Callithrix jacchus: one gene and its partners. The main gene of each other region encodes a partner of the protein of the gene in region 7 in a complex. Links are inferred from orthologs where the notes say so. Each region holds a gene or a part of one and is shown on either strand. Other genes may lie near its edges.

The links.
Region 1: LSM8 (region 7) and LSM4 share a complex: the UniProt entries of both Homo sapiens proteins name them as parts of the precatalytic spliceosome. The link is inferred for Callithrix jacchus from reciprocal best matches to the Homo sapiens genes LSM8 and LSM4.
Region 2: LSM8 (region 7) and LSM6 share a complex: the UniProt entries of both Homo sapiens proteins name them as parts of the precatalytic spliceosome. The link is inferred for Callithrix jacchus from reciprocal best matches to the Homo sapiens genes LSM8 and LSM6.
Region 3: LSM8 (region 7) and SNRNP200 share a complex: the UniProt entries of both Homo sapiens proteins name them as parts of the U4/U6-U5 tri-snRNP complex. The link is inferred for Callithrix jacchus from reciprocal best matches to the Homo sapiens genes LSM8 and SNRNP200.
Region 4: LSM8 (region 7) and SNRPD3 share a complex: the UniProt entries of both Homo sapiens proteins name them as parts of the U4/U6-U5 tri-snRNP complex. The link is inferred for Callithrix jacchus from reciprocal best matches to the Homo sapiens genes LSM8 and SNRPD3.
Region 5: LSM8 (region 7) and USP39 share a complex: the UniProt entries of both Homo sapiens proteins name them as parts of the U4/U6-U5 tri-snRNP complex. The link is inferred for Callithrix jacchus from reciprocal best matches to the Homo sapiens genes LSM8 and USP39.
Region 6: LSM8 (region 7) and LSM2 share a complex: the UniProt entries of both Homo sapiens proteins name them as parts of the precatalytic spliceosome. The link is inferred for Callithrix jacchus from reciprocal best matches to the Homo sapiens genes LSM8 and LSM2.

What each region holds. Positions count from the first base shown.
Region 1 is NC_133523.1:17,038,695-17,043,307, forward strand, and holds the start of LSM4 (U6 snRNA-associated Sm-like protein LSm4), read right to left. Parts: upstream 2,940-4,613; 5' UTR 2,878-2,939; coding exon 2,875-2,877; intron 1-2,874. UniProt on the Homo sapiens protein: Plays a role in pre-mRNA splicing as component of the U4/U6-U5 tri-snRNP complex that is involved in spliceosome assembly, and as component of the precatalytic spliceosome (spliceosome B complex).
Region 2 is NC_133504.1:50,820,394-50,825,083, forward strand, and holds the start of LSM6 (U6 snRNA-associated Sm-like protein LSm6), read right to left. Parts: upstream 2,908-4,690; 5' UTR 2,275-2,907; intron 1-2,274. UniProt on the Homo sapiens protein: Plays a role in pre-mRNA splicing as component of the U4/U6-U5 tri-snRNP complex that is involved in spliceosome assembly, and as component of the precatalytic spliceosome (spliceosome B complex).
Region 3 is NC_133515.1:6,142,509-6,146,565, forward strand, and holds part of SNRNP200 (U5 small nuclear ribonucleoprotein 200 kDa helicase), read right to left. Parts: intron 2,713-4,057; coding exon 2,614-2,712; intron 2,251-2,613; coding exon 2,098-2,250; intron 1,986-2,097; coding exon 1,886-1,985; intron 1,702-1,885; coding exon 1,565-1,701; intron 1,003-1,564; coding exon 919-1,002; intron 819-918; coding exon 645-818; intron 53-644; coding exon 1-52. UniProt on the Homo sapiens protein: Catalyzes the ATP-dependent unwinding of U4/U6 RNA duplices, an essential step in the assembly of a catalytically active spliceosome. Plays a role in pre-mRNA splicing as a core component of precatalytic, catalytic and postcatalytic spliceosomal complexes.
Region 4 is NC_133502.1:195,106,263-195,110,880, forward strand, and holds the start of SNRPD3 (small nuclear ribonucleoprotein Sm D3), read left to right. Parts: upstream 1-1,443; 5' UTR 1,444-1,539; intron 1,540-1,725; exon of another isoform or gene 1,726-1,800; intron 1,801-3,655; 5' UTR 3,656-3,671; coding exon 3,672-3,797; intron 3,798-4,618. Other genes in the region: protein GUCD1, read right to left, coding at 58-311. UniProt on the Homo sapiens protein: Plays a role in pre-mRNA splicing as a core component of the spliceosomal U1, U2, U4 and U5 small nuclear ribonucleoproteins (snRNPs), the building blocks of the spliceosome.
Region 5 is NC_133515.1:27,393,527-27,397,583, forward strand, and holds part of USP39 (ubiquitin carboxyl-terminal hydrolase 39), read right to left. Parts: intron 2,620-4,057; coding exon 2,394-2,619; intron 1-2,393.
Region 6 is NC_133505.1:39,303,697-39,306,824, reverse strand, and holds the end of LSM2 (U6 snRNA-associated Sm-like protein LSm2), read left to right. Parts: intron 1-1,551; coding exon 1,552-1,582; intron 1,583-1,699; coding exon 1,700-1,759; intron 1,760-1,866; coding exon 1,867-1,992; 3' UTR 1,993-2,350; downstream 2,351-3,128. UniProt on the Homo sapiens protein: Plays a role in pre-mRNA splicing as component of the U4/U6-U5 tri-snRNP complex that is involved in spliceosome assembly, and as component of the precatalytic spliceosome (spliceosome B complex).
Region 7 is NC_133512.1:88,804,456-88,808,512, reverse strand, and holds part of LSM8 (LSM8 homolog, U6 small nuclear RNA associated), read right to left. Parts: intron 3,327-4,057; coding exon 3,286-3,326; intron 747-3,285; coding exon 619-746; intron 1-618. UniProt on the Homo sapiens protein: Plays a role in pre-mRNA splicing as component of the U4/U6-U5 tri-snRNP complex that is involved in spliceosome assembly, and as component of the precatalytic spliceosome (spliceosome B complex).

The DNA of each region.
Region 1 (4,613 bases), on a different chromosome or scaffold from region 7:
GCTACTTGGGAGGCTGAGGCAGGAGAATCGCTCTCAGGGAGGTGGAGGTTGCAGTGAGCCGAGATTGTGCCACTGCACTTCAGCCTGGGCAACAGAGCGAGACTGTCTCAGAAAATAAATAAAATGAAATAGAAAAAGAAAAAAGTGCCAAGTGTGATGGGAGCGGCCCCATCACCTGGCTCAGGGAAGATCACAAGAAAATTCAGAAAAGAGAATTCCTTTCTCTGCGCTTTCTTGGAACACCTGGAGTCTGGTTCTCAGGTTTAGACCCATGAGGACTAAATCCAGTGGCTCCTAATTCCAGAAGCTTTCCAGGACTGCCCTCCCCGGCTGCTAACCCAGGTCACTCCTAGTCCTACCCTGACCACAGGGAACTGGAAGTGTGTATCCCATGAGGCCTTGTCCATTCTTTTTGTTTTCCCCTGAGACGGAGTTTCACTCTTGTTGCCCAGGCTGGAGTGCAGTGGCACAATCTAGGCTCACTGCAACCTCCACCTCCTGGGTTTAAGTGATTCTCCTACCTCAGTCTCCCAAGTAGCTGGGATTACAAGCATGTAATCCCACCACTCCAGGCTAATTTTGTATTTTTAGTAGAGACGGGGTGTCTCCATGTTGGCCGACCTCAGGTGATCCACCCACCTCGGCATCCCAAAGTGCTAGGATTACAGGCATGAGCCACTCCACCTGGCCCGCCTCGTCCATTCTTGGCCACTCCTCCAGGAAACGCCTGGATAGCCAGGACTTGGGGACTCTGGATGTTCAGAAGGTGGGGACGGGCTGAATGAATGAGTTCTAACTTTGCCCACGCACCGTTCTACACAGTGGGAATAATAGAGGGAAGAAAAATGAAGATCCTGCTTCCATAAAACTTGTCACAGGATGGACCCTTCCAACTCTGCCCTCGGGGACACAGCAGGAGGGGCCGGCTCCCTTCTCTGAATTGTTGCACTTGAAACCGCCTTCGCAACAACTGTACCTGAGGAAATTATGACAGCAAAAAGAGATCAGACCTAAGCAACTCCATCTTGCTTGTAACCTTTAAGCTGTCCTTGCTCTTTCCTGGGCATAGGCCGAACTAACCTTGGGAAGAAATTCAGTCTATAGTTTGACTCTGAGACAAGATTGGTAATAGCTTTTTCCAGAAAACACCCTCTTCTTACCTGGGGACCAGTCAGCCTTTGGAGGACTGACAAGCTGCAAGATTAGAAATTATCGTTTAGGGGTCACGAAGCCTCTGGCTCAAGAGTCTGAACCTCCCCAAATTGCTCCTGGGGATAACATCACTATTATAAAAATCTAAGATCAGTGCTTGAGATATTTTTGCAGACCCTGTACTAGGTGGATCCGCTGACACCACCCAGACGAGTAATGTGGCTCAACCAGTCCCGCAATCCCACCCACGGACAGAATCCCACCCAGGAACAGAAGACAGCAAGAAAATCTCACTTCGACCTCCTCAGGACTCCATCTCCAACCTCAGGAAGCTCCAGCCAATCAGCACCCCCCACTTCCTGAGCCCCTACCGACCAAATCATCTTAAAAACTCGGATCCCCTAGGCTGGGTACAGTGGCTCACCCTGTAATCCCAGAACTTTCAGGAGGCTGAGGTGGGTGGATCACCTGAGTTCAGGAGTTCCAGACCAGCCTGGCCAACATGGTGAAACCCTGTCTCTACTAAAAATACAAAAAAATTGGTCGGACATGGTGTGGTTGACGCCTGTAATCCCAGCTACTCAGGAGGCTGAGGCAGGAGAAAAGCTTGAACTCGGGAGGCAGAGGTTGCAGTGAGCCAAGATTGTGCCACTGCACTCCAGCCTGGGCAACAAGAGTGAAACTCCAGTCTCCTGCAGAGCTGGCTCTGTGTGAATTGCTTTCTCCATTGCAATTCCCCTGTCTTGATAAATCGGCTCTGTCTAGGAAGCAGGCTAAGTGAACCCACTGGGTGGTTACACACTGACCCCAGGATTTAGGGAGCATCTCTTACTAATCCTCAGCTCTGATGCAGCCACCCCTGTGGGTCCCTCCTGGTTACTAAATCTCCCACTGTCTCACAGAGTCTGGAAGTCACATCCCCAACAAAGGCCTAGATTTCTCTCCCTGAAAAAAGAAGCGCCAGATGCTGATGGGCCAGGAAATTCCCAGCTCCGACTTCGTTTTCCGATCTGCACATTGAGGACACGGGCACTTTCTGGCCCAGATCCAGAACTTCCATAATCACAAACATCTGGCCCTGCAGAGACCTGGGCCTCAGTTTTTCCTTCTGTGTATTGGGAGGATGCACTTTATCCACTCCTGCTCAAAATGCCCCCTTCCCCTGGAATGACATGCTATGTGACCCAAGGAGAAAGACCACACCCCAGCACCAGGCCCGATTTTCAGACAGAAAACAACAGGCCTAGGACGCTGTGCTGCGAGCATTTTATGCATCTTGCAAGCTCTGAAATTCCTAAAGCTAAGTTTCACAACTCAGACTGGCCCCCTACTTCCCAGCACTCTAATTTTCAATCTGGGAGGTCTGACCGGGCCCGAAGCGTTCGGGGCCCCTTCCCTGCCCAAAAACTTGCATTTGGCGGGCCCCCACCTTTTTTGACCTCAGTTTCCCCACCTGAGGGGAAAAAATGGGAAAAACTAAGTAAAGCGAGCCCGCTGTACTACGGATACAAGCCCGTGCAACCCTAAATCTCAGACACAGACGTCCTAGAGCCATCTGCAGTCTCCAGCCTCAGTTTCCCAGCCTCGTGCCGGGAGACGGAACGCGAGGCTCTGACTCTACGTTCACCCCGCGCCAACCCAACCGTCAGCGCCCGCCCGGAGGGCTCCCAACGCCTGCGGCTCCCGCCTCCCGATGAGACCCCGCCGTTGCCCTGCCCTCACCATGGTGCCGGCGGGGACCGGGCTCGCCGGCCACTTCCGCCACCGCCGCTGCACACGCTCCCGGCGGTCGTCGCAGCGCCGCGCGCCACTAGGCTGAAAGAAAGTGGCAGACACGCGAGCCAGTCAGCACTGGGCTCGAAGGGCGGCCAACCAATCCACGCGGAACACGGCGGGGCCCTCTGGGCGAAAGGGGCGGGCGGGCCGCGTTCCCGCCGGAGGAACGAGGAATAGAGCCGTAAAGTGTCGCGACTTGTAATGCAAAAGGGGGCGGAGCAACGCGCCCAGGCGCGGGGTGTTTTGTGGGTAAGCGCATGCGCAGGTGAAGCCGTCGGTCTCGGGCTCCACGCTGTGGGCAAAGCCAGTTAATGCCTTTCGTTTGCAGTCTTAGAGACAGCGAGGTCTCGTGGTGATTGGGACGTCCCTCAGGTCGCCCTTCGGACTCCTAGTTTTCTAATTCTGTAATTATCCAGGAACATCATTTAGTGGGTTGGAATCCTGACCACGCCCCTCGGAGCCTCAGTTTGCTGTAAAATGGGTTATAATAGTAGTGTCTGCTCCAAAAGGTTGCTTGCTGTGAGGATGAAATGAGTGAAACTATGTAAAAAGCACTTAAAACAGCGCCTGGCGATCGGGCGCGATGGCTCACGCCTGTAATCCCAGCACTTTGGGAGACCGAGGCGGGTGGATCACGAGGTCAAGAGATCGAGACCATCCTGGTCAACAAGGTGAAACCCCGTCTCTACTGAAAATACAAAAAAAATTAGCTGGGCATGGTGGCGCGTGCCTGTAATCTCAACTACTTGGGAGGCTGAGGCAGGAGAATTGCCTGAACCCAGGAGACGGAGGTTGCCGTGAGCCGAGATCGGCCATTGCACTCCAGCCTGGGTAACAAGAGCGAAACTCCGTCTCAAAAAAAACAAAAAACAAAAAAATAAAATTAGCCGGCAGTGGTGTAATCCCAGAATCGCTTGAACCCAGGAGGCAAAGGATCACGCCATTGTACTCCAGCCTGAACCCAGGAGGCAAAGGATCACGCCATTGTACTCCAGCCTGAGCAACTAGCGAAACTCTGTCTCAAAACAAACAAAAACAGGTCTGGCGCATATTAAGTACTTAACAATATACTTTGTGCCTGCTTCTGCTCACAGAAATGAACAAAACACAAAATTCGTGGCTCTCAGGGAGACAGTAAACAAAGTAAATAGGCAAATGCTGTTGTTTCCTGGGGCTGTAACAAACGCCTGCAAACTGAGAGGTTTAAAACAACAGAACGTGATTTTCTCACAGTTCAGGAGACCAGATTCTGAACTGAGGCTGTCAGTGGAGCTGGCTCGCTCCGGAGGCTCTGTGTGTCCTGTGCCTCTTCCTGGGTTCTGCTGGCTGCTGCCAGTCCTTGGAGTTCCTTGACTTATACATGGAGTCTTCTGCTTTCTGTCTGCCCCTGTCTTCACTTGGCCTTCTCTGTGTCTCTCAGGCTCAAATGTTTCTCTCTTTTCTTTTTTTGGGACAGACAGGGTCTCCATATGTTTGTTCAAGCTAGTCTCAGACTCCTGGGGTCAGGCCATCCTCCCTCCTCTCTGCTTCCCAAAATGCTGGGATTACAGGTCTGAGCCACTGAGCCCAGCCGCTCCTTTTTCTTTTTCTTTCTTTTTTTTTTTTTTGAGACAGAGTTTTGCTCTTGTTACCCAGGCTGGACTGCAATGGCGTGATCTTGGCTCACCGCAACCTCCTCCTCCTGG
Region 2 (4,690 bases), on a different chromosome or scaffold from region 7:
AGAAATTAGCCTCAAAGAAATGTAATGGCCAAACACAAAGAAATGCATCTAATGTGATCTAAGTTATGCCGCCGAGTAGAAGAGATGAAAACCCTTATTTCTTGGCAATGTTTACCTGTAAGTTTTTACCTACTCTAGAGTACTTAACAGTTTAGCGTGGAAAAAATTGAAAAGCAAAAATTGCAAGGAAACAACATTAGAACCCAAGTAATTGCAGCGTGATACTAAGATAGCAGTGTCTGACGAGGCAATCAGACACCGAGGACAGCTCTCTAAATTCCTCCCTCTGACACAGTGGAGAGCCGGGCTGTCTTTTGAAGACAATCCCTCCTTCCCGAGCAGCTGGGGCCTCTTCTCTCCCTCTCTTCCAAAGGCGAAGTTAGTCCACTGAAAGCACCTCTTTCCACTCTCAGTCGTGGCCCTTATCAGGCCGTTTTGTAATGTTTCCATTTGCTGACTGATCTCCCACAGTGAATTTTAAGCTTCTTGGGGACAGGGAAAATATCTCACTCACTTGGTAACCCTGGTATCTAAGCATACTGTCCAAGTCTGTGGAAGTGACATTCAAAGCCAGTGTCAAGCAAAATTCCTGTCCAGCCCCCACCAGCCCAAACTATGGGTACAGTGACTAGTAATATCAAGTGTGTACTTCAACAAATACTAATCAAGTAATCTCTATAATGAGCACCAAAGACGGAGAAAACAACTGTTTCTGTCATTCAAGAACCAGCTGTATCCAAATCTAGAGATGCTTGTTAAAATGCAAATTCCTGAATCTACTGAGGCAAAGGCACTATACATTACATTATAAAGTTCTCCAGATAATTTCTATAAGCAAATGGTTCTCAACTAGGGGCAATCCCCCCTGTCCTCCCCCACCATGCTCAGGGACAGCTGGAAATATCTGGGGACACCATGAACTCTCATGACTGAGGAAGGTGGTGCTACTACTATACTAGTGAGTACAGACCAGGGATGCTGCTAAACATTTTACAATGCACAGGACGGCCCTCCACAACAAATGCGTCCAGGCCAAAAAGTCCATGGAAGTTGAGAATCTCTGCTATAAGCCCTAAAATAAAAAAAATTTAAAAACCAGCAACATTGTTCTTTGGCCTTAAAGTGAGGAGTTTTAAAGAAATCTCCCAAATATAGCAAATGAGAACCAACACCTACATCTAACCAAATGATGGAGTGTAGATTATAATTTATCAGGGATTTTTTTTTTATTCTAACATATAGAGAATCTGAAAACAACTGTCAAAGCCTTGAAGGGGTTGCCATTCTAAATAACGGATTTCTAGCCTTGGCCATGAAAATGATCACTTTACAATTTTTCAGTACTAAAGATCCCTCTGATGATTAAAATCTGTTAGTACACTTTTAAAAAAGAGAATAATCCAAGTGATGTAAACATATTTTTAAATTCTAATATCTACTATGCCACAGTTCAGTGAGAGGCTGCCTGATGCAGCACAGAGTACTCACTTGGGAGGCAGGAAACCTCAGTTCTAATCCCAGCTCTGCTACTTAATTGGCTGTGTGACTTGGATAACTCATCTCACCTCTCATGGCCCCAGGTTCCTCATCTGCAAAATAAGGGGGCTTTGCTAGATGACCACTTAGGTCTCTTCCTGCTCTAACATTCAGGCAGTCTACTGCAGTTAACTCCAGTGATACACACTACAGACATAAGCCTCTCAAGATTTCTGCACAATATTCAAGCAAGTAAAACTGCCAACCACCTCTAAAACTTTTTTGGAAAACACTGCAGCAATGTGCATGAAAGCCTAAAGACCTTATGGATGACAGCATCTATCTGATAATTTCACTTCTGAGAATCTAGTCCAAGGAAATAATCTACAGGATGGGGGGGAAATGTTTATCAAAATATGATCTGGGATGCTAAGATGATGCAAAAATTCAAAAACAACCAAATGTCCCACAGTCGGGAAATGACTGAATAATTTATGGGACCTACACTGGGATCCACAATGATGGGCCAGCCACTCAAAAGAAGATACAAAATTAGAATAATATTTAGGAAGAGTTTTTAAATGGAACTGGAAAACTACACTGTTAAGTAATTAAACATGAACAGTCCTAGTCCAAGTAGACGCTGGTACATACAGGAGAAAAAGATGGCAGGTGAAAGGGTTCAGCGAATATTATTTTCTTCACTAAAGTCTTCTATGTTTGCAATTTTTCTACAACAGTCACGTATTACTAAGAGCAGTAGGGTGGGGTAATTCCAATCATCCTAATCCTACACACCTTAAACAAAAATGCCCGCTATTCACGCGCCGGGGCACAAACGCGGACACATAGAAAACCTCTGGCGATAGGACTTAAGACCATACAAGGGGTTCCCCGACTAGACAACTCGGTAATTCAGGTTAGTCCAGTCCTTAATTCCTGTGGTTAGGCGCAGCCACTCCGATGTAGGGTAGGCTTCGCAATTCTCTGAAGCCTGGAAGAATCCAGGCAAAGCCTAGGCCTAGATTCGGGATCCGCTTTCCCGCCGAATCCTGGGATTAGCGCTGGGGTTCCCTTGGGGAATTTCGATAACCTCCGAACAACTTCGTGCAGTCTCGAACGCCAAATCGACGCCAGCCGGGACGGTGCCGCTCCTCTCGGCGCAGTGTAGACGCCTCGCTGACGGCGGTTCCAGGCGCCCACCAACAGATCACTCCCGGCCATTACGTGCACACAGAGCTTGGAAGCGGCATTTCGCGGGGACCCACCACCCAGCAGTCCCTCCCCGGAGCCCCAGCCCGCTCCCCGCAGGCCGTTTCCGAGGCTGCTCGGCTCGCGCAGCCACGCGGCTCACCTCGTCGGCGGGATCCAAAATCCTCACTACAGGTGCCCCAAGAGCCCGGGCTCCGCGGACTTCATCGAATCGAAACCGAAACCGGCGAGGCAGCGGTACTTTTCTGCCTCAGCCAATCAGTGTTCTTCTCTGCTACGGCAGCCCGCTGGGGCCGAAAAGGCCGGTCCGCGCCAAAGCGCTCAAATCCAAGAATCCTGGTTGGTTTGTCCAGTGGCGAAATTGGTGCAAAGGAATTCCTCTAACAGAAATCCGGATACAACACAAATACAATTCAATACAAAACAAAAACAAAAATCCAGAAAGCTAGAAGTGATCTTTTGGGCAGGATTTATTTGCAGTGTAAAAAATAACTTGAAGTCATAGAAAACTGGAATTTACAGTTTTAAGTAACTGCCGTGTGTACCCAGAAACGTCCTTGAATAGTTTAAAGCAAACAAATAAATAAAACAAACACCTCAAGTCTTTAAATCTGCCTCTGGATATTGATTAAATGTGTGAAGACTTAAGCCATTTTAGCAAGAGACTGTTTCCATGGCAATGTTAATTGATACGAAAATAATTAAAACCACTCAAGTAACTCCGAATTATAATGACGTTAATTGTGTTACATTATAAACTAGTTCCAATTGAAAATGGTGTGCAGACATTAGCTAAGTGCTACCTGTGGGAACTTGGTTTGGAATTTTGCATGAATTCTCAATACTCTTGCTATTAATAGGATTGGAGAGGAAAAAGAAGAGAACAGTCACACCAGGACTTGGTTCCTTTTTCCCTGTCACATACTTTCATCAGCTGAAAACTTATACTTTATTTTATTTATGATTTGTAACACTATACACAAAGTGATAAGATCTTCCAACACAGATCCTTAACTCCATTAAGTGTTATAAAATCTAAGATGCAGAATGTTTTTCTAAGATAAAGAGTTTCTCCCTTGTATCCCTCTTTTGGCTAAAGGCAGAAGAAATGAACCCTTGGTATCAGGGACAGAAAGCAACTGGATGTGATTTGGTAAAGAATAGAGACTTCCTTATATCCTTCTACAAAAGCTCAGTTTGGGTAAAGACAAAACCGTTACAGACTTATTAAGAGGGCTGTATTTGAAGTTCTTGCAATATAAAATATAATGTAAATAAAAATTTTAAGAAAAGTGCCATTAAAATTAAATAATTAGTTGCAAAGAACAAACATGATAGGATAAAAAGCCCTGTCCCTAAAAACATTCTTTGCAAAAGACATCAAATTGCACACTCCCTACTGGTTGTTTCAATTATTCAAAAAACAGTAAGTTTTTGATTCAAATTTCTTTCCCTTTCCTACAGACCCCTGATGGAGCGATTAACACTGGTGTGGTGGGTAGGGAGCCATGAGGAGTTTAAAGGCCTCGTTCATCTGAGGAGCAGCTGCAATCTTCTCCAAAGGGAGTAGCTGGGTATGGGGCCGGCTTGACATACGGGGTGGGCATCCTGAATTATTTAATGAGCTAACAAGCTTATAAAAAGTGTGCCTGTTCCAAAAAGCCCCTTAGCAGCTTATAACTGACTTTTACTAACTCACAAGGCAATTTTCCATATTTCCCAGGTTTTTGCTTTCAGCATCTTTTTTGATGCAAAGAAAACATTGCAAGACTTTTTGTGAAATACTAGTCTTCCAAACCCGGAATGTAAACATTAATTTATTAAGAGCCTTAAAGTCATAAAAATATTTAAGCAGAGGTTTAGTTTAATGTGTGTGGTTTAGTTTAACTTACCTAATTTAGTTTTGTTTAGTTGTTAGATCTGATAAACCTATGCTGACACATCATTATTACCCAAAGGCCAAGGTCTACATTAGGGTTCACACTTAGTGTTGCGCATTCTA
Region 3 (4,057 bases), on a different chromosome or scaffold from region 7:
CCTCAAACCCAGCCTGGGCATACTTTGGCAGCTTTTCCACTGGAAGCAGTTGCTAGAAGGAAAGAAGTGCCATTGATATCATGTTGGCAGCATCCTTGAGCAGATGTTTTTGTGGGATTGCCAGGATTTTGTTCCCAGGCAATCTCTTTGCATAACTCTCCATTAAAGGTCAGACCAAGGCCGGGCATGGTGGCTCAAGCCTGTAATCCCAGCACTTTGGGAGGCCGAGGCGGATGGATCACAAGGTCAAGAGATTGAGACCATCCTGGTCAACATGGTGAAACCCGGTCTCTACTAAAAATACAAAAAATGAGCTGGGCATGGTGGCGTGTGCCTGTAATCCCAGCTACTCAGTAGGCTGAGGCAGGAGAATTGCCTGAACCCATGAGGCGGAGGTTGTAGTGAGCCAAGATCACACCATTGCACTCCAGCCTGGGTAATGAGAGCGAAACTCCATCTCAAAAAAAAAAAAAAAAAAAGGTCAGACCAGATGTCAATTTTGTCACCCCAGGCTCAAAATCAGAATGGAAAAATTCTGTTGCAGCTTTCAGTCTTGAAATAAACTATATAAGAGACAAGGCTACATTCTGGTCAATGGTTGAAATCCAAACCAGGAAGTGAACTGAAGAAAGCAATGCACTTACTTCTTCTGAGCCAAAGGGCTTGGGCTTCAGGGCAGGCACATGCACTTCTTCATAGCCCTTACGCTGGCGACGGAAGGATCCATCAGGAAGCTGACAGCGTTTATTGGCCATAAAGTGGCTCCCTTGGGTAAAAACCAGGTCCTCCAAGTCCAGAACCTGTCGTGGAGCCAGTGCCTGGGAATGTGAAAGACAAAAATGCAAAGGAGGTGAGCAAGCTGAGCAAGTGAGTTTTCCATCCATCGAGATCTGGGAAATAAATCGCCCTGGATCCTACCTCTCCACCCTGGTCAAGATCCATGGTTTCCAGATCTGTGTCCATTCGAGACTGTCGCACTCGCTCTCTCCGAGACCTTTCCTCCTGTGGTGGAGAAAGATAAAAATCACAGAAACAATTCATCAGTATCATAGATTCTTGTCCTTTTCTGTCCCTGCTTAGCCATACTTGAGTCACAGGTGCTGACTAGTAAGTCTGCAAACAGAAAGACAACGCTTTACCTGGGGACCACCAGAGTGATCAAAGCAAACAAACACATTTAAAGGGACAATGCACAGTAAGATGTTGCCAGAAATAGACATTCTATAATTAAGAATTGAGGCTGCCCCTGAGGGGTAGAAACGTGGGTTCTGTTGAGCAAGCACATGTATTCTGTTACTCTATTTAGTAAACACCACGTGTTTACTGTGTAAATAAACAATAAAGGTCCTCTTGGTGCTGGTGAAAGACAGCAGCAGATCACTGCTCTCACAACCAAACCAACTGAGGATATGCTGATTTTAACGTGTATGTACTGATAAACCCCAAATAATTTAGAAAAATCACTTTTTCAACTTCCACTTTTAATACGAATTTAGCTTCATGCTGCAATCTTCTAGCCACTGTTAGCTGAGAAATCAGACAGATAAACCAACCCAATCCTTACTCGGATCAGATCCTCCTTCTCTGTTTCGTGAAGTTGGTAGAGGAACTTAGACAGCTCTGGGTCAGCTTCCATCTTTCCCATGATCCTTTCCTTTTCAGCTTCACTTTGTGCACTGGCCAGTAAGGTACAGTATAAAACTACCCGCAACAAAAGGAAGAAAGGAACAGTGAGGAGGAAGAAATGCAAAAATCAACCTTCATTCTTAAGGTAGAAGAAGAAAAATAAAAGAAACAAGCACAAAAGCTGTGAAAACAAGAATCTCTGTCTCACATATGCACACATATGTACCTACTCTGCAGGAAGAGCCGATCATATACTCACTCATCATCCTGTGCTGCCGCAGCACTTTAATGAAATCAAAGGTGTTGAAACCAAGCAGCAGTACCAGCTGGTTCTCACACTCCCGATCATCACTGGCCGTCTGCAGAGAGAAGGTAACACCACCATTAAGGACAAAGCCATCTGCCACTTCATACGCTGTCCCCATGTGCTAAGACATAGTAAACATACAACTATTGTTATCTTGGCCATACCTTCAAAATCTCCAGTACTTCATCTGCCTTCTTCTGTGACACGATGGCATCATCATAGAAACGACTGAGCTGCCGCTGTAGCCAAAATGCATCAATATCCCGAGGGTGCAAATCCTTCTTCTTGGAACTCATCAGTTCACCTGAGGCTACGAGCTATATAAGTAAGTAGGCATTTAGCTCACTAAGTCTCTGCCAGCCTCGATCACTTTCCCACCACCCTGCATCCAAGTTCTTCTTGCCACCCTACAAGCCCACCTTCTTTTGAGGACTTTCCAGAAGGAAACACTCTGGAATATTGAGTTCAGAAGCACATCAGACCAAGATTTTATCAACATACATATTTGGGAAGGAAGAAAACCAACTGAAATCTTAAGAAACTCTAGACATTGTTTATTACACGTCAGTCTAGCAAAAGGTGGCTCAATAAATGCAATAGGACCCAAGCATGAAGCAGAAGTACTAACACTCAGAAGTAACCTGGCCTTGCAGCAATAAGAAAGAGCAAATTGAACTTACATTAGCTGAGAGGGTGCAGCGTACAACAGCCTCGTCCCCTTCCATGTCATCATCAGATGCCTCCTCTCGGACCTCCCCGTACACATCTTCATCACCTTCCTGTGGAAATGGCCCCAACTCAACCATGATCTGGAGCTGATTCTGCATCACCACAGAACCTCTCCTTCAAGTTACCCTAAATTAGCTCGATAGTTAGAGAAATGGCTTTGGGGTGAAACCAAGAGCCTACTGGAACCAAGGTCAGCCTTATCCCAGTGGACACACAATAGAATGGCTGCTTGGCACAGACTTATTAGATGCATCTACTTTCTATTTCTTACCTTAGGCTGCTACAATGGCAATCAAATGGATCATAGCCTCTCTCTGACACACACAATCAATACTCAAAACCAGCAAATAACTAACGAGAGAGAAGAGCTCTACAGAGGCATGCCTGGGAAAGCAGATGGTGACTAGGAATGAAGAGACCACACTTAGCCCGCTCACCACTCTATTCACTCATATGCTGCAGTAGGCATATTTGGCACAGTGTCACAGTCAAAGCAGGTACTTCAATAATGAGCACTGTTACATGAATGAACTGCTAAATGCAAAGCAGTTCGGTGCTACTTAAAATCCTCAAATCCTATTAACTACACTGTAGGAAGAGGCCTAGCAATCACCTAATGAAATCGCCTCATTTTATAGAAGGAGAAACTGAGGCAAGACGACCTGCCAAGATATAGGACTAAAATTCAGAAGTCTTGGCTCCTAGTCCAGTGCTTTCCTCTGACTCTCCCTGTGCGATCCCTTCTTCCAGCCCTGGTATATAGTCCAGGCTTCATTTTCTCTTTCAGGAGCCAAATCTACCGAGAACTCCAAGGCACTCCGTAATGTTTTCAAAGCACCCCACTTATTCCTATTTAGTTATATTCAAGAAATTCTATTAGACGGTAGGTATTAACCCCAGTGACTTAAACAACCATGTATGGGCTGGGCGTGGTGGCTCACGCCTATAATCCCTGAACTCTGGGAGGCCGAGGCAGGTGGATCATGAGGTCAGGAGTTTGAGACCAGCCTGGCCAAAATAGTGAAACCACATCTCCACTAAAAACACAAAAATTAGCCAGGCGTGGTGGTGGGCACCTGTAATCCCAGCTACTCGGGAGGTTGAGGCAGGAGAATCACTTGAACCCAGGAGGTGGAGATTGCAGTGAGCAGAGTTGTGCCATTGCACTCCAGCCCAGGCAACAGTCCAAGACTCCATCTCAAAAAAAAAAAAAACAACACCATGTATGAACTATGTCCATGCTCTAAGGCAAATGTGCAATCTTTTGAAACAGCGGGACACAGTACTGAAAAATAGGAATTTATGGCAAGAAGGTTAAAATGCAGTACAATAAGAGCAGATACATTCTCAATGAAAGTATTCACTGTACTTTACCTTTTGTCTTTCTTTTTATTG
Region 4 (4,618 bases), on a different chromosome or scaffold from region 7:
AGGGCGGAGTCCCCCTCGTTCCCAGGGTGAGGACTGGGCCCACAGAGAGGCACTGACCGGGCTCGAGCGGTGGCCCCGCTGCCTCCGCCTCCGTCCTCATGACCCGGGCGGCGCGGGGCGCCCATGGCCCCAGCCCAGAGCGGGCTACAGCTTCCGCTTCGGCTGGGGCGGGAGGGCGGCCGGTGCGTCTCCAGTTCCTCCGCCGCCACCGCCGCCGATGCGGTGGGGAGAACTGGAGGCGGCGGCTGGGCCTCCCCAAGGCCCGCCCCGGCCCTTCTAGTTCGCGAATCTAAAGGCCCCGCCCCTTCCATAAGCCCCGCCCCAAACTTTGATTCTAGACGCCCCCAGTCTCTCGATTTAAGCCCGCCCCGGCCATTTGCCGCTTCTGCGTCGGGTGGCCCCGCCCCGTCGCCCAATCCTCGCGTAGACGCGCTGCCCACCAGGACACGGGCCCCGGAAGCCCCACCCCTTTCCTTGAGGCCCGCCCCGAAGCTCGTGCACTTAGTGCAGATGCTTCCTAGAGGTTCGTCTCTTCAGCAAACTCCGCCTCTGCCGTGACCCGCTCCTTTGCAGCCTTAGGTGTAAGCACCGGTCCCGCCCAATGCATTGCCGAAGCGCCAAACAACTCTCTTTTTATTTTTTTATTTTTATTTTATTTTATTTTTTGAGACGGAGTTTCGCTCTTGTTACCCAGGCTGGAGTGCAATGGCGCGATCTCGGCTCACCGCAACCTCCGCCTCCTGGGTTCATGCAATTCTCCTGCCTCAGCCTCCCGAGAACCTGGGATTACAGGCACACACCACCATGCCCAGCTAATTTTTTGTATTTTTAATAGAGACGGGGTTTCACCATGGTGACCAGGATGGTCTCGATCTCTTGACCTCGTGATCCACCCGCCTCGGCCTCCCAAAGTGCTGAGATTATAGGCATGAGCCACCGCGCCCGGCCACAACTCTCTTTCAACTGCCTTTAGGGATGATCCTGAGCCGGCCGCCGCCCTACTCTATACCTAATTTTATCCGTACGAGATACCTCGCCCCGCTCAGGGCGCCCCTTACCTAGCGGTGCCGGGATCAAAAAATTAAATTGTGAGGGGGAAGTCCTGGCCCTTGGCCCAACCTCCTGCTGCCCCGGGTCTGACGGCCCAGGCCCCGGGTCTGACGGCCCAGGCCCCGGGTTTCCGCCTTGCAGTCCAGCCTGTCCTTGGTGTGGGGTGCTTGGAAGTGCGAGCACCCTCTGCGGCTCGTTGCCGGCCCAAGGGTCGTTGTTTCCGGCGGCCCTCGGGCCCAGTTATCAGCCGTCTCTTCTGGTGCCGGAACTATCGTAGCGGTGCCCTAGTTTCCCAGCCGGCGGGCGCAGCGAAGAGGAAGCGGAGACGAGACCGCACTTACCAATGGGGAAAGGAAGGAGGTGGGCCCTGCGCGCTGCATTTTGGGAACGATTGGAATTCTGGGAGCTGGGCCCGCCATTCGCTGAACTCACGCCTTAGCCGTAGACTCATTTGCCGCCGCACCGAAGAGGAGAAGGAGGCCGGAGCTGGTGAGGCTGGGGACGGGCAAGGGGGGGTCGAGGGGCCACTCGCTGCATGGAACTCTGCGGGGCTCGGGGAGGGAAGAAAGCGGGAAGCTTGGGCCACCCAGACATCAGCGAGCATCGCCTCACTAGCGCCTAGAAGTAAGTTCATTAGCTTCAGCGTGCATGCTTTCACTTTTTGTATCTCTCCAGGTCAGTGTTTTTCAGAGCTTCCAGGCAGTAATCTTGAAGTCATTTCTGGTTGACTGTCTCCTTTCCCCAAATCCTGTGAGTGCTTTTTTCTGTTTATTTTTTCTTTTTGTTTTGGAGTAGTGATGGGTTTCACCATGTCGCCCTTACTAGTCTTGAACTCCTGGGCTCAAGGGATCTACCGGCCTCGGCCTTCCAAAGTGGTGGGATTATAGGTGTGAGCCACCGCGCCCGGCCGATCATTCTTTTAAAAGTTACTTGCATCTCTGCCTCCAGCCCCCTTTCAGGTAGTGGTCCCCTCATGGTTTCCACACTGTTGCAGAAGTTTTAACAAGTTTCTCTGCTTCTAAACCTTACATTCTATCCATTTTATAAATAAATGCTGCCACTTTTTTTTTTTATTCAAAAAAAATTTTTTTTCTTTTAAAGACGGGTTTTCACCATATTGGTCAGGCTGGTCTTGAACTCCTGACCTCAGGTGATCCGCCCGCCTCAGCCTCCCAAAGTGCTAGGATTACAGGTGTGAGCCACTGCGCCCGGCAGTGCTGCTGCTTTTTTCATTACGTCATTCTTTACTTAAAATCGTGCAGTGGTTCCCCACTATTTTCAGTATAAAATGTAGACTCCTAAAGCTGAAAGCAAGGGATCCTCACCAAAGGAACCTGTTTCTTCAACCTCACGTTCTCCTCTGTTAAGTGCACTTACGTTCCAACTTTGAGTCGTTGCTTATCTCAATAAAAAGTTCACTGCTTGATTCTTTTTTTTTTTTAAAGACGGGCTTTCACCATGTTGGTCAGGCTGGTCTTGAACTCCCGACCTCAGGTGATCCGCTCGCCTTGGCCTCCAAAGTGCTGGGATTACAGGCTTGAGCTACCACGCCTGGCTGCTTGATTCTTTTAATTAGGTCAAATCAGGTGATTTCCCTGATTTTCCTCCATGACAAGCATTTCCTGAATAGAGCATATTGTCACTTTGATATTTCCTCATCTTTGATGGTAAAGTAAGTGAGGGGTTAAAGGGCTGAATTAAAAGTGCAGCCCCCTCTCCTAGGTGTTCATGGGTCCTTTGGTCTGTATCTGCACCTTCCATAGGGGAGCCACTAGCTACATATGGCCATTGAGCACTTGGAATATGGCCACTGGGATTGAGACTGGGTTTTTTATTTTAATTTTATTTTGTTTTAAGTAAGTTTAATTTAAATAGCTACATGTGGACATGAGCTGTATTGGACAGCTCAGGCCTATATAATTTTCAAAATGTAATCATGTACAATTACGGTTGACAATAACAATGCAACAAATAACATTCTAACCCCCACTCCGCAACACGAACAGTATTCGCTAATGGTCATTTAGATGAAGATTAAGGGACATAGGGTAGTAGGGACATGTGGTTGATGGGAGAGGCTCTCTTTTCATTTCTATTTTTATCTCTGTCCAGCCCACCATTCCTTCTCACCCCACATCTTGCACATATTTGCCAGATAGTTTCCTCCAAGCCAGGAGCTGAGTTGTTTTTGTTTTGTTTTATTTTATTTTGTTTTTGTTTTTGTAGAAAATGTAGCTTTGGGCCGGGCGCAATGCTCACGCCTGTAATCCCAACACTTGGGAGACCAAGATGGGTGGATCACGAGATCAGGAGATTGAGACCATCCTGGCTAACACGGTGAAACCCCATACTAAAAAAGTAGCCTGACTTGGTGGGGCAGGAGAATCTCTTGAACCCTTGAGGCAGAGGTTGTGGTAAGCCTAGATTGTGCCACTGCACTCCAGCCTTGGCAACAGAGAGAGACTCTGGCTCAAAAAAAAAAAAAAATTCAGTTTTGGCATTTTTGCTAAGTTTTATGGAGGGCTAGGCCTTGAAGGAAGCACAGTATGTGCTGCATGCCTTCTCAGTCTCTGAATGATGAACTGACTGTTGCCTCTCTCATTAGAACTCTTCCTGCCAAGATGTCTATTGGTGTGCCGATTAAAGTACTGCATGAGGCCGAGGGACACATTGTGACATGCGAAACGAACACCGGCGAGGTATATCGTGGGAAGCTCATTGAGGCAGAGGACAACATGAACTGCCAGGTATCCTGCTTTGCACATGAGGCTATGTGGGAGGAATGGACCTGTGTCTCAGAGGAACGGAAAGGTGTGGGTTGGGGGTCTTTGAAAAAAAATTGTTCTCATTCAGCAATGATTTTCTTTTGTTTGTTTGTTTTTTATTATTTTTATTTTTCTTATTATTTTGTTGTTGTTATTTTTCAGCAATGATTTTCTGAGTGCCTAATGCATGCCAGGCACTGTTGTTACAGGCTCTGGGAATGTGGGCATGAACAAGGCACAGTCTTGAGGCAGGAAAGCCATTGGAGGTTTGGAATATTTTACTTTGTCCTTTTTGTTTTTTCCATCCCCAGAGTTGGGGGCCTATTTGAGGGAAGTGCTACTTCAGTAGAATTCTTCAGATTCAGAGCCATTATCCATTTGCCTTCACTTGCCTTGTGGTTAGCAGAATCTTCTCCCATACTGTATTTGTTTCCCTTTTCTCTTGGAGGGAGAATCTCATTTGATTATTGCAACTACCTTGTGAGGTAAGCAGGTTTGGTGATAGTCTTGACATCCATAAAATAGGGAGAGTGAGATTAAAGGACTCATCACTGATAATAAATAATGGAGTAGTTTCCTGATATGGTGTCCTTCTCATGGCACAACTTGGCCTTTTGCATAGTCATCTGAATTTTTTTTTTTTTTTGAGACAGTTTCGCTCTTGTTACCCAGGCTGGAGTACAATGGTGCGATCTCGGCTCACTGCAACCTCCGCCTCCTGGGTTCAGGCAATTCTCCTGCCTCAGCCTCCTGAGTAGCTGGGATTACAGGCACACACCACCATGCCCAGCTAATTTTCTGTA
Region 5 (4,057 bases), on a different chromosome or scaffold from region 7:
TGGGGTACCCAGATGAAGATTTTTTTTTCCCGATAAAGGGTCTCACTCTGTCACCCAGGCTGGGCACAACCTCAGCTCACTGCAAGCTCTGGCTCCCAGGCTCAAATAATCCTTCCATCTCAGTTTCCCAAATAGCTGGGACTACAGGTGGATATCACCATGCCCAGCTAACTTATAAATTTTTTGTAGAGAGAAGGTCTGTCTCACTATGTTGCTCAAGCTGGTCTTGAACTCTTGGGCTCAAGCAATCCTCCCACTTTGGCCTCCCAAAGTGCTAGGATTACAGGCATGAGCCAGCGTGCCTGGCACCTGATTAAGATTTTATTGGCCACGTTGTAAACTACTAAACACCATCAATTACCAAGCTCGAATGACTTATAACTTCTGCTCAGCTGAGACTAAATCATGGGCTTCTGATCAATATATATTATCCAACCCAAAGTATATCTTATTTCCTACTAACCCTAAAATAAGTGCTCCATGGGCCCCATTCCTTACCACCTTGATTCCCCCTATTTCTCCTTAAGTAACAGAGACTCTTAAAAGTCACTACTCAACATCCCCTCTAAGTCAATCCTCAGCCAGAATAATGTTTTTGTTTTTATTTTACAGACGGAGGTCTCGCTCTGTTGCCCAGGCTGGAGTGCAGTGGTGTGAACATGGTTCACTGCAGCTTCTACCTCCCAGGCTCAAGCGATCCTCCAACCTCAGCCTCCCAAGTAGCTGGAACAACAGGTACCTGACATCATGCTTGGCTAATTTTAAAAAATTATTTGTAGATACAGAGTCTCACTATGTTGCCCAGGATGGTCTCTAACTCCTGGGCTCAAGCAATCCACCCACCTCGACCTCCCGCAGTGCTGAGATTATAGGTTTGAGACACCATGCCCAGCCAGAATAATGTTTTAAAAACAACTCTGATATCATACCTTTGTTAAAAGCCTTCAGTGAGGCCAGGCACAGTGGTTCACACCTGTAATCCCAGCACTTTGGGAGGCCGAGGTGGGCAGATCACCTGAGGTCAGGAGTTCGAGACTAACCTTGCCAACGTGGTTAAACCCTGTCTCTACTAAAAATACAAAAAAACTAGCCTGGTGTGGTGGCAGGTGCCTATAGTCCCAGCTACTCGGAGGCTAAGGCAGGAGAACTTCTTGAATCTAGGAGACGGAGGTTGCAGTGAGCCAAGATCACACCACTGTACTCCAGCCTGGGCAAGAGAGGGACATCCCATCACAAAAAATAATAATAATAATAAGCCTTAAATGACCCCAGCTGTTATCAGGATATAATCCAAGCTCCTTATGGTGGCTTATAAACCAGGCCATCAGGTCCCTCCCTCAAGATCTACACCTCAACTCTCCATTGATCCCTGGAGTCCACGGATCCAGTTACTTGCAGTCCGTCTATGCCAGGCACTTTTCACTTCTGCCCACCATGTCCTCTCTACCTAGAATGCCCTGCCCCCACCCCAACCTGCCTCTAACTCTACCTAAAACTCAGGGTTCTCCTCCTCCACTCTGACCTCTCATCTACCTCCTACATGTTCAGTTGAGGGGGTCCTTGTTCCATGCTCCCTCCCACAGCACAGCACATAACACCCTATAATTACCTTTTGTTAAAAAAAGGATAGTTGAAATTTGCTTATTTATTTTTAAAGACAGGGTTTTGCTCCGTTACCCAGCTAGAGTGCACTGGTATGATCATAATTCACTGTGGCCTTGAACTCCTGGGCTCAGGCAATACTGCTGCCTCAGCCTCTCAAGTAGCTCAGACCATAGGCTTATGCCAGCACACTCAACCTTTCTACATAACAATTTCCCCACTAGACTGGAAGTTCTTCAAAGGGAAAAATCATGTTTCTTATCGCTGCTCTAAAACCTAGCACCATGACTGAATGTTGAATAAACTAATACGGACACTAGAGGATACCACATGAGATTCAGGTACAAAGTTACAGTGTCCACTTTACTCATAAGATAATAACAAATTGGGTTTGGAGAGACAGAAACAGTCAAAATAGTTCATTAGAGGTCAGGCACAGTGGCTCACACCTGTAATTCCAGAACTTTGGGAGGCAAAAGCAGGCGGATCACGAGGTCAGGAGTTTGAGACCAGCCTGGCCAACAAAGTAAAACTCCCCTCTCTACTAAAAATACAAAAATTAGCTGGGCATGGTGGTGGGCACCTGTAATCCCAGCTACTTGGGAAACTGAGGCAGGAGAATCGCTTGAACCAGGGAGGCAGAGGTTGTAGTGAGCTGAGACCACACCATTGCACTCCAGCCTGGGTGATAGAGTTAAAAAAAAATTCACTGCCATGTGGAAATAAATTTGCTCATTAAACTGGTTTTGTTGTCCTGAAGTCAAGGGAAACATGAATGACTTGCTCCTTACCTTGTTTAGTGATCTGAAAAGTCTTCTTACTGCAAAGTACAACTGCCTGAAGCATCTCATGGGGAGATACATGTGCCTTGAAATTTCGAGGGTTCCAGAGCTTTCTCATCAGCTCTCCAAAACGCTGGACCAACAAGAACATAATATCCCCTGGAGGACGCTTGATGTTCTTATAGTTGTCTTCTTCCAGAAAGTAGTTCCGGAGAGGAGGAACATTAGATAGAGCCTGAAAATCAAACACTCCAATTAACCCAAAGCCCCTTTGTAGGACCCCTTGAGCCAAGCTCTTCCAGCTAAAGCTCTCCTAATAGAATCCTGTGATCTATCTGTGATGGCCTTAAAGAGCCTTAAATGGACCCTTGGAGAATCCTACCCAGGCTCACATTACAGAACTGTCCTTAACATTGAGTGTCTGAAATACCACTGATTTGATAATGGAAACAAGAAAAAAAAATTGAGTTTCATAAGAACTACAGTTCTGCAGATACTTCGCTGATGTGGATAATAATAAGGGTAAAACAAAACAAAAACCACATGTATTCAAATCTCTATCAATTTATTTAACAATTTCCTTTTGTTACTCTAATTATGCTGTGACAATACTCAAATTCATAAGGTAGAAGGGTAAAATCCAAATACTCTTTTCTTCATCATCCATTTTGGCTGAAGCAAAGATAACTATCTAGGAAACAGTTCTCCCATCTCTCAACTCCAAACTAATATAAAAATTATCTTAAAATTTGATGTTTTCCCATAATAAAACCATGTAACTGTACATAAAATAAATATAGGGAACTGTGAGGACGCAAAGGTGTAAGAATAATACAATGGACTTTGGGGACTTGGGGGAAATGGTGGGGGGGGTGAGGGATAAAAGACTACACATTGGATACAGTGTACATTGCTCGAGTGATGGGTGACCAAAATCTCAGAAATCACCACTAAAGAACTTGTACATGAAACCAGACACCACCTGTTCCCCAAAAACCTATTGAAAGTTTTTTTGTTTTTTTTTTTGGAGACAAATTCTTACTCTATCCCCCAGGCTGGAGTGCAGTGGCAAGATCTTGATTCCCTGCAACCTCCGCCTCCCAGACTGAAGCAATTGTCATGACTGAGCCACCCTGCCCCACCAAAATTTTTTCTTTAAAGTAAATATAGTCTGTTATGATGGAAAACAGTCAGCCAGGCAAGGTGGCTGAAGCCTGTAATCCCAGCACTTTGGGAGGCTGAGGCAGAAGAATCACTTGAGGTCAGGAGTTCAAGACCAGCCTGGCCAACATGGTAAAACCCAGTTTCTACTAAAAATACAAATTAGCCAGGCATGGTGGCACGCACCTATAATCCCAGCTACTTGGGAGGCCGAGGCAGGAGAATCGCTTGAACCTGGGAGGCAGAGGCTGCAGAGAGCCAAGATCCACTGCACTCTAGACTGGGTGCCAAGAGCAAAACTCAGTCTCAAAAAAAAAAAAAAAGAAAAGAAAATGGTCTGTAGGCAAAACCATCCAGGACGTAGGAACAGGCAAGGACTTCATGACTAAAACACCAAAAACAATGGCAATAAAAGCTAAGATAGACAAATGGGATCTAATTAAACTCCAGAGCTTCTGTACAGCAAAAGAAACCATCATTAGAATGAATCAGCAACAAACAGAATGGGGAAA
Region 6 (3,128 bases), on a different chromosome or scaffold from region 7:
GCTCACCACAACCTCCACCTCCTGGGTTCAGGCAATTCTGCTGCCTCAGCCTCCTGAGTAGCTGGGATTATAGGCACGCGCCACCATGCCCAGCTAATTTTTTGTATTTTTAGTAGAGACGGAGTTTCACCATGTTGACCAGGATGGTCTTGATCTCTTGACCTCGTGACCCACCCGCCTCGGCCTCCCAAAGTGCTGGGATTACAGGCATGAACCATCGCGCCCAGCTCAATACTTTGAGAATTTTTACAAAACTTAGGGTCCGGCAGAGAACTGCTAACTTTATTTTTGGCAAGATAAGGACTTTTTAAAACAGCTATTTATTATGATTATTTTATAACTTCAAAATAGAGATGAGGTATTGCTATGTTGCCCAGGCACTGCTATTTTGTCCGGGCTGGCCTCAAGTGATCCTCCTGCCTCAGCCTCCCGAAGTGCTGGGATTACAGATGTGAGCCACTGCACCCAGCCAAAGGCTGTTTCTTAAATTTTTGCACCATTCTCCCAAAGAGCACTGGTGTTTTGATACCATTACTCAAATAGCATCTCAAGGGGCTTGAGGATTGGAGAATGGAGAGGATATCACTTGTGCCTGCATCATCAAGAGTAATGCTACCTTCCTACCTTTATCTACATATGGGACTCTGGTTCCAAAGCAATAAATGTTTGAAAATAGCTAGCCTGGGCAACATTCACCATGAGACCCTTTCTCTACAAAAAAAAAAAAAAAAAAAAAAAAAATCAGCTGGGCATGGGGGCACATGCCTGTCATCACAACAGCTGCTCAAGTGGCTGCAGTGAGCATGATCATGCCATTGCACTCCAGCCTGGGCCATAGAGTGAGATCCTGTCTCAAAAAAAAAACAAAAAAAACTGTTGATGATGTTGGGAGTCAGACAGACTTGGACTGAAGTTCCTGTTTGTTCTAAACTCAGGTTTAAAACTTCTCTGAGCCCATGGAAGGTAATAACTACTTCAAAAGATGGCTATAAAGATAACAGAATACAGGTCTAGTCTTTACCAGTTGTTTAATGGTAGCTATTAAGAATAGGTTGGTTTGGCCGGGCACAGTGGCTCACACCTGTAATCCCAGCACTTTGGGAGGCTAAGATAGGCAGATTGCCTGAGGTCAGGAGTTATAGACCAGCCTGGCCAACATGGTGAAACCTCACTTCTACTAAAAATAAAAGACTAGCCAGGCATGATGGCGCACACCTGAAGTCCTAGCTACTCAGGAGGCTGAGGCAAGAGAATCATTTGAACCTGGAAGACAGAGGTTGCAGTGAGCAGAGATAGTGGCACTGCATAGAGTGAGAGTCCATCTAAAAAAAAAAGAATGGTTTAAGGAGAGGAGATGTGGGGTTGAAATTAAACCACTCTGTAGCCATCTTTCCTACTCCAGGCTTAGGAATGTCCCCTTTTGGTTCTACCTTTTCTGACTTCCTCAAGTCCTTGCCTTTTCCCAATCATATTCTCATCCCAGCTCTGAAGTCACCTTTATGTTGACTTTGTTATAAACTAATTTGTTTTTTCTCTCTCTGCCCTTGACAGCATCTGTGGAACCCTCCATTCTGTGGATCAGGTGAGATATAGCAAGGGCCCAGAATTGGTTCCTGGGGAAGGAGAGGGGAGAGCTTAAGGGTTGGGTACTTACATCATATCTCTAGGGTTAATAATGGTGTTCGTATTCCTTTCTTAGTATCTCAACATCAAACTAACTGACATCAGTGTTACAGACCCTGAGAAATATCCTCACATGGTGAGTTGGGGTCTATGGAGAAGAGGAAACACCTCTAAAGCAGGAGGCTCCTGGGTGGTTAGAGGACATTTTTAAGGGTGTTTTCACATTTGTCCATCTTTGTCTAGTTATCAGTGAAGAATTGTTTCATTCGGGGTTCAGTGGTCCGCTACGTGCAGTTGCCAGCAGACGAGGTCGACACACAGTTGCTGCAGGATGCGGCAAGGAAGGAAGCCCTGCAGCAGAAACAGTGATAGCTCCTCCTCCTCTTCCCCTCCCTCTTGCATTGGTGACCCAGAACCCCAAGTCCCAGCCAAGAACCCCTAACTCCCAATACTTAAGGGTTTTTGTTTGTTTGTTTTTTACTAATGATGATTTTGTGGGTTTTTTAAAGGGATGAGTGGATGAGAGGAATAATAGGGAACAGCTCTCCTCTGTTGAGAAGGGGAGGATGAGTAGGCTGGGAAACTTCAAAGCCTTCCCAGTCCCCAGCACCAGCCTTTCTTACTATTTCCCTGGAGATGGTGGGAGAGTTTCCTAAGTATTTCCAGGGCATTCATTTAGGGATGGAAGGAATCTGTCCCGCATCGGGAATAAAATTTATGATGCAAATTCGTGTTCTGGTTTTGTACTACGTTTGGGGCTGGGTGCTGGGTGGTGGAAAAGGATGTTGAATTCATCCAGGCCCTTGTTACTCTCTGTTAACCCAGCCAAGAATCCAACTCAGCTTCCCACTACTCTCCGTGGTATAAAGCGTATAATAACAATTGCACTACACCACGTTTCTCCCAACATGCCTCTGTCTGCATGTTCTCCCTTCGGCGTTTTGCTTATACCATACTGGCAACTGGAGTGCTTGCTGTCTTTCCATTAATGTGACAATGTTATAAGATGCATTTCATGCTACCGGACTTTGACAATCCAACCAAATCAGTACATGTTTTTTGAATATCTATAGAAGATAAATACAGACGGAACATAATTTATATGTTGGAGAAAAGTTATGACTGGCAATTACTAAACTTCATTCACTCATTCAGCAAATATGAGTTGTGATACAGATGAGACTTCTCAGCATTAAGGGACCCTTAGAGACCATCTAGTGTGACCCTCTTTTTTTTTTTTTTTTTAAACAGCCTTGCTCTGTCGCCCAGGGTGGAGTGCAGTAGTGCAGTCTGGCTCACTGCAGCCTCCTCCCTGATTCAAGCACTTCTGCCTCAGCTTCCAAGTAGCTGGGATTACAGGCGCCCACCCACCAGGCCTGGCTAATTTTTGTATTTATTTATTATTTCGAGGTGGAGTCTCACTTTGTCAGCCAGGCTGGAGTGCAGTGGTGTGATCTCAGCTCATTGCAGTCTCTGCCTCCCAGGTTCAAGTGATTCTCTTGCTT
Region 7 (4,057 bases):
GGATTACAGACATGAGCCACCATGCCCAGCCAACTACACTGAAACTTTTATAACGGCCTGTCCCAAGTAAACTGAGGCCACAGAGACATCTTAAGTGTGTCAAATATACTAAAAAATTAAAAGAAAATAAATAATGGGTAAGTACTTGTTTATAAATACACCTATATGACTGAGCATGTATTAAAATTGTTCAAATGAAAGATTTCATAAACATTTTTCAAACTTTTGCCTTGGACTCTAGAAATATGTTCCTCTAAAATTCTGGGTATTTTTAAGAACATTTTAAGAAACCTCTTTAATGAAGTATTTAATATAAGGCAGGGCCCTTTCTGGACTCTATCCAGGCTACTTATTTAACTAGTGGAAAAATGGGCAAATCTCAGGTAAATGTTTGATTTGTAGAGATAGCTTTGGTTGAAACCTGAAGAAATGTTGACATAAAATGTATAGATTTGCCTTACTTTATGCAAATATAAGAAAAGCCATATTTATAAAAGAAATGAATGCAAGATTCTATTAACTATGTATAGATAATACAGTAGACTATTCTGGGTAAAACCTCTTCTCCATAAATCAAGGGAGTATCATTTATAATTTTAACAGATATATTTTACTTACACATTGTCACCTCTTACAATGTATAATCCTAGTACTACTTGCTCTACTCCCTGTGAAGAGCTGAATACTCGTTCATGGCTTTCATCCAAAATCAAATTAATGGTCTGGTCAAAACCTTTTAGTGTTCCCTGTAAAGAAAATATCCAGGAGAAAAAGAGAAATATTCTGGTTTACCTGAAAGTGTAAATTCAACCTCACAATCATTTTAGTTATTAGTTACTCCAATATAAGTACCTATACAATGTCAAATAAAATGCCTTTTTTATAACTAACAGTATTCGAGGATACAAAATTGACCCCTTGGCTGTTTGGCTGGGGTGGAGGGATCTGCACCACACATCTCACTCATTTGCAGAGCTGATGACAGTTACAAAGGACACCTAGGTACTAGTGTATTTCCAAGTAAGTAGCATAAAAGCTCATGTAGTCCGACAGCCAAAGGTATATACTAAAACAAAGGAGATTTAAAATAAAATGATAGGTAACTCTATATAAATAAGGAAGAATCATACATACCAACTACAGTAATGTAACAGTATCACTGTATACTACATACTAGCACTAGGTATTGTGCTAGACACATTGTACATATTGTCGCAACTCATCTCTACCCTTTAATACTATAATTATTCCCATTTCAAAGAAGAAACTGAGGCACAGAGTGGTGTCTCTTATGGTCACATGGGCAGTAAGTAGCAGAGCCAGGAGATGAACCACGAAAGGCTAGCTCCTGAGCCAGACCACTAAACCATTACCTTCTACTATTATACACAAGTAAATATAATTTGCCATTTTTCAGAGAATCAAATCAGTCCCATAAATACATAAAAAATTTAACTAGTAGTTACGGGTAACACCTAATGAGTTCTTACTAGTTACCAGAGTTCTGTGTGTCTCACAGGTATTATTTAATGCATAACAAATACATTTATTATTTAATTCTCCCAGTAGATACAAATGTGACTAAACTAATTAGAACAAGAATTTGAAGGAAATAATCAGGGAAGGTTTTATGAAAGCTTAGTTTTGAATAAAAAAAGACATGGGTCTAGCACAACAGATTAACTCAGATGGTATCCAAGTTTCTGAAGAAGTATCAACTAACATTGATTTTAATTGGTTAAATCTCTCAAGCTACTAAACTTTTATCTTCTGAAAACCAAAATATATAAAATGAGAATGAAATAAAAAGAAAACTATAATTTGGAAGAGAAAATATGAAGTCTTTCTTGAACTATTTAACAAATGGTTATCATAAACACCCATTCATAACCTCCTGGCTTCATTTTACACATAACTATCCCATCAAATAAACTATGTGTCAAAGAAAAAAGAACTATTGAACTTTAGAACTTAAGATGCTCTTTTTATATTGCTTTCCTTTTTTAAAATTAAAAATGATTTCCCAGTTTATTATCTACTATGTTAACAAAAATTAGAAAATTTAAAGTTAAGGTTTTCACAAAATTAAAAAAATTGAAAATATCTATTAATAGCAATAGGCTTCTTGAAGTGTTGCGATTAAAATATGTCAAACTGTCCGTATTTGAAAAAATACAATGTGAGGCACCTAAGAAAACATGATTTTAACAGATATAATTTTAAGAAAGAAGCCAGGCAATTTGCCTTGGCTTTGATGTCAAACCAAATTTAAATCCCAGTTCAGTTCTGTCACCTGCTATCCTTGTGACTCTGGGAAAGTATCTCACCTTCTCTGAGCTTGTTTCCTAATCTAGAATAGAGGGGTACTTATTCTTCACAAGGTTGTGCTGTACATTAAATAATGTAGCACATATGCACCTGGCACATGATATAAATTTAGTAAATGACAAAGCTAGAACCTTGACTATTAACAGTCACTAAGGACCCACTGAGGGGAAAAAATCGCAAGGCTTAAAAAGAAAATGAACAAAAACAAAATTGCAGAATGGAAAAATAGGGGATTAAATTATTTAAGAAACTAGGTAAGGTTAGAAAACAGAGAAAGTTTAGTAGCCTTAAAATTCTTTCAAAAGAATTAAGTGTATTAATTGTAAGTGAAGAAATAAGCAAGCACCCAAATATCTTGAGATAAATTCCTCAAATGAAATTCCAAATACAAGTATTGCCATAGGAATGTTTTATCTTTGTTAGATGACATAAATTAGCAAGGGAGAAACAACTTTAAGAAACAAGCCAATTGAACATATATATGTGTATATAGAGAGTCAATCATCAAGTGTCCTATAGAAGACATGTCATACAACCTAAAAGCAAACAGTATTAAGATTGCATACAAGCCTTAAACGTTGATAGGTAGGTATCAATAGTATCTAAATCACAAAAAAGTTCCTAAATGTATGCAAAATTTCAAAAAATTCTGATTCATGTAGTACTGAATGGGGAAGAAAATAAAAATGGAAGAGGGAGATAAGTAGGTTTAATACATGTCTGCAGACTAGGAGCTCTCTGATGGCAGAATCTATTATTCTAGCTCCTAGAAGCCTTGTAGGTAAGACACAAGGTTTACTAAGGAAAATGTGGATTGACAGCAAAGTGATAGTTAAATAATAAAACTGCACTACCAGTGTAATGTGGCGTCTAGGCATTAGAGATCAGAGGTTTCACATAAAACCTGCAACCCATAAACGTACAGGAAAGCAGAGAATGAAAATTTGGAAGACTTACCACAATCATTCTCCCGTCAGATGTAATAACAGCAACAGTTCCTGATAACTGAATCAAGGAAAGTGTTTCTTAGGGAATACAATCTGAAAACAGACTCTGGCAAGGTAATGATTTGAATTATTAGAAGATATACAACAATTAGGTAAAAGTGATCAACATAGCCACTAAGTTCACTACATAAAAACGTTACAAGTTTTTGGGACGCCAAGGCAGGAAGATCCAAGATGACTGGTCGCTAACAGCTCAGGATTGTAGCTCCCAGTGAAAGCACGGAGAATGAGAGGACACCACACTTTCAGATGAATTTTCGTCACTCACGGACCAGAAGATTCCCAGTGAAGGAGCCCTACGGGTCGCCAGCGTGACTCTTGTGGCCGGCGCAGCAGTTTTGCCGGCGCCTCGTCATGGCAGCTCTTCGTGCAGAATAAACGGGAGGAGATTCCCAGGCAGAAGAGCACCATCAGTCTTAATGCCGCTGTTTTGGCCGGTACAGTGGGTTGCTCAGATTCCAGCGGTGGGAATCAATAAACTGGACGTCCACTCAGAAACCCAACTAGAAAGGCAGTAATTGTAAAGATGACAGATGGATAAATTTATAACAAAGGGAAGAAACCAGCTTAAAAAGGCTGAGAATACCCAAAATCAGAACACCTCTTCCTCTACAGGAGATTACAGTTTCTCATCAGCAACAGAACAAGCCCTGATGGAAAAGGACTGTGTGCCATTAACAGAAGTAGGCTTCAGAAGGTGGATGATAAGAAACTTCTGGGAG